Daphnia pulex: one gene and its partners. The protein of the gene in region 2 binds, or shares a complex with, the protein of the main gene of each other region. Links are inferred from orthologs where the notes say so. Each region holds a gene or a part of one and is shown on either strand. Other genes may lie near its edges.

Evidence for each region.
Region 1: small nuclear ribonucleoprotein F (region 2) and pre-mRNA-splicing factor ATP-dependent RNA helicase DHX16-like share a complex: the UniProt entries of both Homo sapiens proteins name them as parts of the minor spliceosome. The link is inferred for Daphnia pulex from reciprocal best matches to the Homo sapiens genes SNRPF and DHX16.
Region 3: small nuclear ribonucleoprotein F (region 2) and U6 snRNA-associated Sm-like protein LSm8 share a complex: the UniProt entries of both Homo sapiens proteins name them as parts of the U4/U6-U5 tri-snRNP complex. The link is inferred for Daphnia pulex from reciprocal best matches to the Homo sapiens genes SNRPF and LSM8.

The regions. Positions count from the first base shown.
Region 1 is NC_060022.1:5,692,124-5,696,313, forward strand, and holds the start of pre-mRNA-splicing factor ATP-dependent RNA helicase DHX16-like, read right to left. Parts: upstream 2,809-4,190; 5' UTR 2,659-2,808; coding exon 2,151-2,658; intron 2,092-2,150; coding exon 1,561-2,091; intron 1,477-1,560; coding exon 1,208-1,476; intron 1,145-1,207; coding exon 935-1,144; intron 874-934; coding exon 517-873; intron 458-516; coding exon 1-457. UniProt on the Homo sapiens protein: Required for pre-mRNA splicing as a component of the spliceosome. Contributes to pre-mRNA splicing after spliceosome formation and prior to the first transesterification reaction.
Region 2 is NC_060019.1:9,593,575-9,596,460, reverse strand, and holds small nuclear ribonucleoprotein F, read right to left. Parts: upstream 1,419-2,886; 5' UTR 1,278-1,418; coding exon 1,272-1,277; intron 1,193-1,271; coding exon 1,064-1,192; intron 945-1,063; coding exon 813-944; 3' UTR 804-812; exon of another isoform or gene 762-803; intron 750-761; 3' UTR 568-749; downstream 1-567. Other genes in the region: phospholipid-transporting ATPase VD-like, read left to right, coding at 2,471-2,774. UniProt on the Homo sapiens protein: Plays a role in pre-mRNA splicing as a core component of the spliceosomal U1, U2, U4 and U5 small nuclear ribonucleoproteins (snRNPs), the building blocks of the spliceosome.
Region 3 is NC_060019.1:331,074-333,616, reverse strand, and holds U6 snRNA-associated Sm-like protein LSm8, read right to left. Parts: upstream 1,140-2,543; 5' UTR 1,061-1,139; coding exon 1,030-1,060; intron 968-1,029; coding exon 927-967; intron 846-926; coding exon 718-845; exon of another isoform or gene 652-717; coding exon 561-651; 3' UTR 509-560; downstream 1-508. Other genes in the region: zinc finger protein 277-like, read left to right, coding at 1-196, 259-343, 411-497; alpha-ketoglutarate-dependent dioxygenase alkB homolog 7, mitochondrial-like, read left to right, coding at 1,734-2,018, 2,095-2,262, 2,328-2,452, 2,531-2,543. UniProt on the Homo sapiens protein: Plays a role in pre-mRNA splicing as component of the U4/U6-U5 tri-snRNP complex that is involved in spliceosome assembly, and as component of the precatalytic spliceosome (spliceosome B complex).

The DNA.
Region 1 (4,190 bases), on a different chromosome or scaffold from region 2:
TCAATTCGCCCATGTGGTTCAGGGCTCCTAGAGCGTAGAGTTGTTCCAGTGCCAAAGCCAAAGTCTCGTGCGGAGGCGGATCCAAAAAGTCGAAGTGAATCAAATCGTTGATTCCAAGTGATTTGAGAAGCAGAACGACGTTGCCTAAATTAACTCGCTGAATTTCTGGCACAGTGTTCTCTTCAAGCTCGTGCTTGTAGGCCCATGCTGTGTATAGGCGGAAACATTTGCCAGCTGCTACACGTCCAGCACGTCCAGCTCGTTGATTCGCCGACGCTTTCGAAATAGGAACGACAACAAGGGATTCCATGCCAGTTCGGGCATTATAGGAATTTTGCTTGCAAAAGCCTGGGTCAATGACGAAGATAATGTTGTCAATAGTCAAAGACGTTTCTGCGATATTCGTAGCCAGAATGCATTTCCGTGCTCCGGGAGGCGTTGGCTCGAAAATTTTTGCCTGGCAAGAGAAAATGAAAAGATATGAAAAGGATAAACTTTGAATAAGCAAAAACGAACCTGCATGTCTGACGGTAAATTTGCGTAGATAGGAAGAATAAGCAACTCTTTGATCCTGGTGCCCAATCTTCGAGTACGTTCCGTCAGACTCTCCAGTGCCGTTTCAATTTCTTCTTGACCAGTAAGAAAGACAAGAATGTCACCCGAGTCTTGTGTGACGTGAATCTGTAGAATAGTGACAACGCAAGCATCGATATAATCAGCCTCAGGAGCTTTGGTGTAAAAAATTTCGACTGGGAATCTTCGACCGGGAATCCTAAATATAGGAGCTTCGTCGAAGAAATCGGAAAACTTTTCAGCGTCCAATGTAGCACTGGAAATTAGCAGCTTCAGGTCAGGTCGAAACCGTGCAATATCCTGAAAGAATTTATAGGAAATTATTCAACAATTTAAGAGTTGTTGTGTAAGGACGGCTCACCTTGATCAGCCCAAAAAGAATATCGGTATGGAGTGTTCGCTCGTGGGCTTCGTCAATAATCATGACACTATAGCTCTGCAAATCGGGCTCAGAGAGAAATTCACGCAGCAACATACCGTCAGTCATGTACTTGATAACAGTCCTCTCTGACGTGCAATCTTCAAATCGAATGCTGTAGCCTACTTCGTTACCGAGTTTCTTGCCCATTTCCTGTAAACGGAATCGCACAAAATAAGATCCTTGTCAAGATTACAATTCTTGATTGAATTCTACCTGGGCGACACGAGCAGCAACACTCATGGCTGCAACTCGACGTGGTTGGGTACAACCGACTTTCTTGCCATCTTTACAGTATCCCGCTTCGTACAGATACTGGGGAATTTGCGTCGTTTTTCCTGATCCAGTCTCTCCTTCCACGATCAGGATCTGATGGTCTTCGACGGCTTGGAGTAAGTCTTCGCGAAACGGAAATATTGGAAGCGATTTCCTCGTATCCTGAAGAGACATTTTCTTTTTCTGGATGTCGCTTACCTCAGGTTGTTCTAATATAGTTAAAACGAAAAAAAAAGGTGGAGGGATAAGATTATTAAACATTTATTCAGAAGGTTTTAGGTGTGTTACTTTACCTTCGATACCCTTGGTTCCTGCAAGTTGGTTTGTTTGGATAAAGTCAATGGTGTCATCCAATAAGAGGTCATAATCATGAACTTTTCCCTTCTCCTGAAGACGCTGTTTTGCATCTCTGGCACCGAAATTCCACTGAGCAGTGGCCATGCGAGCATCTTCCCAAACTTTTTGTTCGGAATGAGGTTGCTTTTCACGGTCATCTATCTCGACGTACCTATCAGGCATTGCTTTGTCCCGCTTATCATCGGGCATATGGTATCGTTGAACCAATTCCAATTCTCGTGCTTTGTCATGTTCTTTCGCAAGACTGAGAATTTTTTTCTTGTATTCGCGATCCTTTCGTTCACGCTCCGTGAGTTGTTGCTCATCGAACAAGTACTCATCGTCGAAAATATCTGCTTCCAATTCATTAATCTTGTCTCCTTTTCGCTTCTCCAAATATTTTCGACGTGATTCCACTCTGAGTTTGGGAATAACGCTGGCTTTGTCTTCAGCCTCCATTTGAAGCCTCTTTGCAGCTTCAGCAAAACCTAGATAATTTAAACATTTTATTTTAATAGTTATTACAAATATTAAATAGTAAATATACCTTTTCCCACAGTAACCACATTCCTCTGTTTATCTTTATCTTTGAGTTTAAGACGTTCAGAGAACTCATCTCTTTCCTTCAAATCTTTGACTCGTTGTTTTTCATCTTCATCTTCACTGCTTGAATCAGACTTCTTCTTTTCCTTCTTGATCTTTTTATTTACTGGTGGTGGAGGTGGTGCCATTCCTTCTTCATCGCTGTCTTCTATCAGCTTATATCTCTTGTTTTTTTCGATCATTGCTAACATGGCTTGTTCTTGTTGCTTGGCGGCAATTCTTTCAACATTTACTTTAGGGGCAGCTCTCGGAATCTTTCCCCATAACTCTGATAGAAAACTCATCACTTTTGCATTTGTCACATCGATAGTGTCTGTGAAACGAACTTTTTCGATAAGTTCATTCACTGAAGAACTTTTATGAGCCAGGGATGTCAAAAACTGAGAAGTATAGCGGTCACTGAAGTCCAATATCTCGATTAACTGATCGCTAACCCACGTTTCTAAACTCATTTTTAAATGTTTATTAGAAACGAATTTGTAAACAAGGCATTAATAACGTTGAGTCCGTCTGAACTTGCCGGACAAGCAAAAAAGCTACAAGATCTTCCACGGCAAACGAAGCAGACTAACTTGTGGAGTCAAGCCTAGCGGTCAAACAACACAGTCTTCACCAGTGAACTGATACTGATCCGATTCCGTGTCGTTAAAAAACGGATTTTTTGAGGGTTGTAGAACGGATTGGTTTCCGTTCTCTTACGCTAGAGTCGCATGAAGGCAATAACGTTATGCCTACCCTCTAGCGCCTCTAGCTGATTCATAATCGGATTCGTTTCAGTTAACCGATTTTTGACAAATCAACGCGTTTTTCAAATCAGTGAGCGGACCCGTTTCCGTTCACAGATTCGTTTCAGTTTATTATCAACTTGTTTTTTATAATAAGAAGCCGAAACCTTTCCATTATTTGAACGGCTTCGTTTCCGTTTCCATATCACGTTTTTAGTAAACAAATAACTATTTGCTTATTAGAATATTAACCGATTTTAATTGTGTTATTGAAAAGCAAAACAAACAAAATGTCGTCGGACAAGAATTAAGTGATCTGTTGAGAGATGCAAAAGGAGTGAAACAGGTTTGTTGTTAAAAATTTGACAGCTTATTTGTAGCCAACGATTTGATTCTCACAGAGCTTCTAAGTTATTAACTATTGTTGAGGAAAGAATTTAAATTTCTAATCTTAATCTTGTTTAATTTCTATTCCTACAACTATTTCTTTGTCTAGCAAAAACTGAGAAAGTTAATTTCGTCAGCACAGCAGCACCCAGTGACCCAGAAGGAAGGGATTGTTTTGATATCAAAACAATTCAACCTTCCTGCAGTAAACTGAAGCCTGACAAGATTCATTTAAGAGGCTGATGGAAACAGAAATATTGTGTTAGAGACTTCTGTACCAAATCCATATGGAATTCACCTTTACAACCTGCTTGAATAAGACGTTGAACAGAAGAACCTCATCTAGTCTCGTCATCACTCTCATCTGTGTTGGTAATTTAATGATCAAATTTATAAGTGACAACACTTCTGTAACCAGATCCCTTCCCTCAGGCTGCAGAGCTAAAGTTGGAATGTCTGTTGTTCAATCTCCAACGTGAAAGACCAGTCATTGGAGATTCTTTGAATTCAGACAATGTTCGAGTCAGAACTCATAGATATCCTTTACCAGCAGCACTACTACAGATTATTGCAACGAAACAAAAGGCTGAAACAACTAAAGGGAATCTAATCGTATTTCTTTTTATCTTACTCTAATGATGCATTGTTTAAACTATTTGTGATTCTGATTCAGGTGGACCGGCCTCAGAATTATTGCTCATTGATTGGGCTGAAAGGATTGAATGGCAAGGCATACCAAGCACTTCGAATACTTTGATTTCATTAGGCCTACTTTCAATTTAAACTTTCATTTCATGTAAATTTTCAAAAGATGTTGAATAAATTGTGTATTGAATTATATTGCTATATTTTCGCGTCTAAAAGCTCGGACA
Region 2 (2,886 bases):
TTTGAAACTGAATCGCAATCACGAGGAAAAACCAAGAAGTTGACTGACCTCATCACCTGCGCCTGCTTAAATGTGATCCTGACAGTAACGTTTTAATCTTCGTTGTCTAGTTAGGAACGTACATTTGTACAATGTTTATTATTTGTTTCAAACCGTAGTAATTCATCTCGGAGTTCAACAGCCTATAACTCCCCTAACGTTCAAACGACAGTGATAACTTGCGCATGCTTACCGTCCTATAGTGTTAACAGCCGTGTTACATGCAGGCCAATTGAAACGTATTGAACAATTAATATTCATAAGCAATTAGGTATTCTTATGACATCAGCTGGTACCAGCGTGAGCCAATCGGAAAAGGTGTTTCCGGATTTGTTTGCCTTTTTGATTTATACCTTACAAAATATATTTACGAACAAGTTGGTGTAAGTGGAAAAGAAATGTGACTTGAGTTTTACGAGCATGCGGGACTGCGGGCTGCCTACTAACTTCATTCATAAGGTAGCTTAACCATTTTCCATTTAGACAAAGCCTTTATTTTCCGACTAAATGGAAAAAATCGCCGGAACGTAAGAAATTCCAGTATACTTAACATTAAATCACCAATACGGTAGACAACGGTTCTGTGTTTGGAATTTGGATACTGAAAAGCTGTTTTTTTACTTGTTTGTCCTTCGTTGTCTGTGGGAATCTTGTAATGTATACACCAGAACATATTTTTTAGGGTTTCCAGGTTTCCTATACAATAACTTCTATGAGATAGATAGGAAATGACATTATGTATTAAAGGATGAAAAATTCAATACAAACAGCAATCAATCTCTCATTTCTCCCTCCTCATCATCTTCTTCCACTCCACGTATGTAAAGTACATTGTTGCACCTGACAAGAACTTCACCCAAGTTTCCAGTACAGCTTCCATCAATATATTCTTCTGTGTTTGCCAACTGTGATAATATAAGAAGAATTATTGCCATTGTTCATATATGCACACTGTTTCGTGCAACAGCATGTTTTCATTTTTTTACTGATGAAAATGCACTACATGGTATAATTATTACAGTACCTGAAGATTCATGTATCCATCAACTGAAACGAGATAACCTTTGTATTCATGGCCCCACTTCAGTTTTACCATAATCGGTTTGCCGGTTAAGGCATTGAGAAAGGGTTTGGGATTGATGGGCATGGGTGCCTGAAAATATGAAATATAACATGTTAGTAAATGGTCGGCTAAAAAGGACCACCCAACAAGATTTAGGTTTTGAACTTACTGCCATGATTTGTATTTGTTTTAGTCAACGATTTTACAAAATTTGATTGAATGTTTGACAAGCGAGTCAAGCCGCGTTATTTCAGTTTACACGTTCTGTAACGTAAAGATCAGAAGTAAGGGTTGCCAAGTCGTCTTATTAAGTACATCAAATTTTGAGAAAGTTTTTCCATTTTGTAGGAAAGAAATTTACATATTTAAACCTAATAACTAGTGAACTAAAATTACCTTATAAAATAGGATTATTTAAATAATTTTTTGATGTAATGTAATGAGATATCCATCGTAGAGCAACGATCCCGGATCTCTGGTTCCGGACCAAAAACTCACGTCACCTATTCTGTTTTCAATCATAATAGCTGGAAAAATTTACAACCAAAGGAGAATTTTTTTTTATGTATCGTTATTAAGTGATTTTGTTTAATAAGTGACTCGTGGTCGTGGATATGAAAAGTCTTTTTAACAAATTGGCAAGAACAGAGAAGCTTCACAACCAGAATTAGCGCTCTCTAAAAAGTAATAAAAGAGGGTTTTGCGTTTCGCGGAATTAAAAAGATAGGAATTTATCACAGTTTGTCTTGATACAGAAAGACTTTTTAGGTTCAATTTTACATTTTGGAAGCTTTTAAACGGTCAACAAACCGGTTTCTTATTTCACTCCGGTGTCCATTCCGCGCAATTTCCTTTATTATCGGTTACCGAGTGTAAAATCTGGCAGTAAAGCTTGTACGGTGTATGCAGCAGAGGCTGAAAGCAGTGCACAGCTGGAATTTGCCGTTATATACGTGGACACACAACAAGTTGCTCAGTTGCTGACACTAAACTCTATCTTACCATTCTTTCATCTTTTTGCACTTTTTTTAAAGTTGACGTCACTTTCCAACCGATTGTTTTTCTTCCATTTCCTCACTGGGTTCCATCATTGGACCAAATAAACGAACAATCGTTCCACTGTTAAGACGATTTGTTGATTTTAGTCTGCCATGGACATTTTTTGAAAACAAAAGCTGACTTGTCTTTTTCAGCAATATTGAAATAAGATGTTTGGTGAGTAAATAACTCTCCCTTTTCCATTGCTCAGAAGTTTGTGTTGATTTTGAGTTGGTTGTTGGTAGTCACAAGCTTGACAGTTAGTTTCGTGAATGGTTAAAGAAATTCAATTGTAATTGAATTTGGTACTCTCTCATTTTCAGGGACGGTATGGATTTTGATTCACCGGGTACCACCTACATTTTTCCTGATGTGATGCAACCCCCAATAGAGCTTGAAACTGTCAACCCCCTGCCAAGCAGGGGTTGGCCGGGTGGAGTTAAGGGACATGTTCGCTCTGCAAGTCATGGTGTCATCGGAGTTTCCTTATTGAATCCAACATTACATCCACAGCCCTCTTCGCCATCCCCTGCAATTGGATTATTGGAGGCAGCTTCAGGATTGAATAAAGGGGAAAGATCTTCACAAGATGCTTCTTCTGCCAATCCAACAGTTTTAAAACTTCCTTATACAGGTATTTTTAAGGTTTCAGCACTCTTGATTTCTTTAGCAAGAAGACTTGTAATTCCTGTTATCTTAATTAAATATTTTGTTCATTTCATTGATAAAACCTTCTTGGTATTTCC
Region 3 (2,543 bases), about 9.3 Mb from region 2:
TTGATTTTCTGGGCCTGAAAAAGAGCTTTAGTATCTATCAGCAAATTAAGATTGTCAACTACGTCAGGAGACAAGTGCATGAAAAGAAATGCATACTTTGCGATGAGCAGTTTGAATCCCGGGATAAACTGAGAGAGCACATGCAAAACTTCAGTCACTTTAAACTTCCCGATCGGGCAGTTTGGGATCAGTCACAGTAAGCCGGATACATTCAAAATTTTCTATTTGTGGATCCTATTTTATTGGATAAACTTTTAGGTACTACTTTCCAACCTATGAAAATGATGCTCTTCTTTGTTTGCTAGAAGATACCATTCCAGATGATTCTACTGAAACCGACCAAGTAAATTATATTAAGTCTGATTTTTATTAATGTAAAAACTTGTTTTCATGATTTTTCATTTAATTAGGTAACAGTGATCCCTGAAGACACCATCATAAACCTTAAAGTAGTTGAAGAAGAACTGCTTAAACTAGAGCTAATTGTAAAAAAATGAATGATTCTACAAAGCTGTAAAAAAGATTGTATTTCAAGTGATCATGATGGAATAATGCAAACTTTAATGGTGGATTTGAGCTAGTGGTTCTGCTCTTATTTCTGATAAATTGAGTCTGGAATCAAGTTCATTATCAATTTCCCCAATTAAAACTCTGAAATTACAACAAGAAATAGTTATGATTGAGTTATTTTACAGCTAATAAGTGGATGAAACATACACATTGTCTCCTCTGATGATGTGCAGTCCCAGTTGGACTTGTTCAACTCCCTGGGTAGAACTAAACACTCTCTCATGACTGTCGTCAATGATAAGGTTGATAGTCTGATCGAATCCTTTAAGAATACCCTGTAAAAAGAATACATTGAAATTATTTCAAACGGTTTATTGAGTGAGGATGATGCCTTGTGATCGGGCGTTACAACTTACAATAAAATTCCTCCCATCACTCGTGATAACACATACGGAACCTGCGAACAAGAAAGATACAATTTTTCAGTGAATAATAAACAATATAATAATTAAAACTCACGATTAACGTAAGAATCTAACGTTGATGCCATGATTTCTTCACTCGCTTCACTTTGTATTTGGCTTGTAAAAATCGTCTGCAATACAGCGTTGCCGTTTATTTTACTTTAATATCAACAAAGTATTTTCATTCATTCTATTCAGATTTAATTCATACAAACTGTAGTAAACTTATGTTTCAGTGATTAATGATTTCGATAGAGTAATATAATTTTTGTTTATGTATGGAAATTGGTTATTTGAAAAAGACTAAAGAAATCGAGAAGGGGTGCCTGAGGCTATTTTCCCGAGACGTTAATCAAATGGTTGGTGAGGAGAAGAACTCAGCAGGCTAGAGTTTTGATGAATCGTTTTCTTTGGCCATCAAATAAATTTGAAAATCAGATAGGCCCTACATTTCCATTATGCGGTATAATTCTTTATTTGGTCGGTTTTGAGGTATTAACATTAAACGAAATAATATATTAGCGTGACTAACCCCAGCCCAATTTTGTTAAATCTATTTATTTTAAATATACATGTCCATTAAATAAAGTACCGTCTGTCATTTTTAATGACATCATTTTTTACATTTGATTGCAATCAAAACGAAATATGGCATGTCACGTACACACACGCAAACGTCGTCTGCTCTTTGCAGAAAATTGCCGATTTGAAATATTTTGATGTCCGACTTTTAATGGTTGAATATTTTAGCATCGAGATATGGTGCTTTATCTGGTCAATATTCGTGCAGTTTTGAAGCGCGCAATTCCTTTAAGTGCTACTTGTTCCCATTCAAGAAGCACATGCTCAACTCCCGCAGAGACCCGCGGGATCTCTCCAAATTTAGAATTCTCTCCCGACTGCGATGAAGCGACGAGGCAAATGCTTGAGAAAGACTTTCAAGTCTACAAAGATTTCATCAGTGCTGAAGAAGAGAATAACCTATTGGAAGAGTTGGAGGTGAAGTTCAAAAGGTCCCGGTATCAGTATGACCATTGGGATGATGTAAGTCTGAAATTTCGTGTTCACGTAGGTTGTCTGACTGTTGAATGACCACCATTTGTTATTCGAAACCCAAAAGGCTATCCACGGATACAGGGAAACAGAGAAACCTACTTGGAATCAAGTCAATGACTGTGTTATAAATCGGTTGAGAGCTTTTGCCTTTTCAACTACCACGATGCAGCATGTCCATGTGCTTGATTTAGCTGAGAATGGTCACATCAAACCACATCTGGACAGCATAAAGGTATGATAGATGACAGCGTTTGGAAATTATCATTCTAATCTATTCGTATATTTCTCTAAACATAGTTTTGTGGCCCCACCATATCGGGCATATCTCTGCTCACAGCCAGTGTGATGAGGCTCATACATATACAGCGACCCCAAGTCTTGGTCACGGCACTATTACCGAGAAGATCATTGTATATAATGAAGTAATTATCTATGCAAAATAGAGCCCATCGTGATATATAACTCTATCTAAATTTCTGTCTCTCTCTTTGTTATTGCAGGGACTTTGCTAGA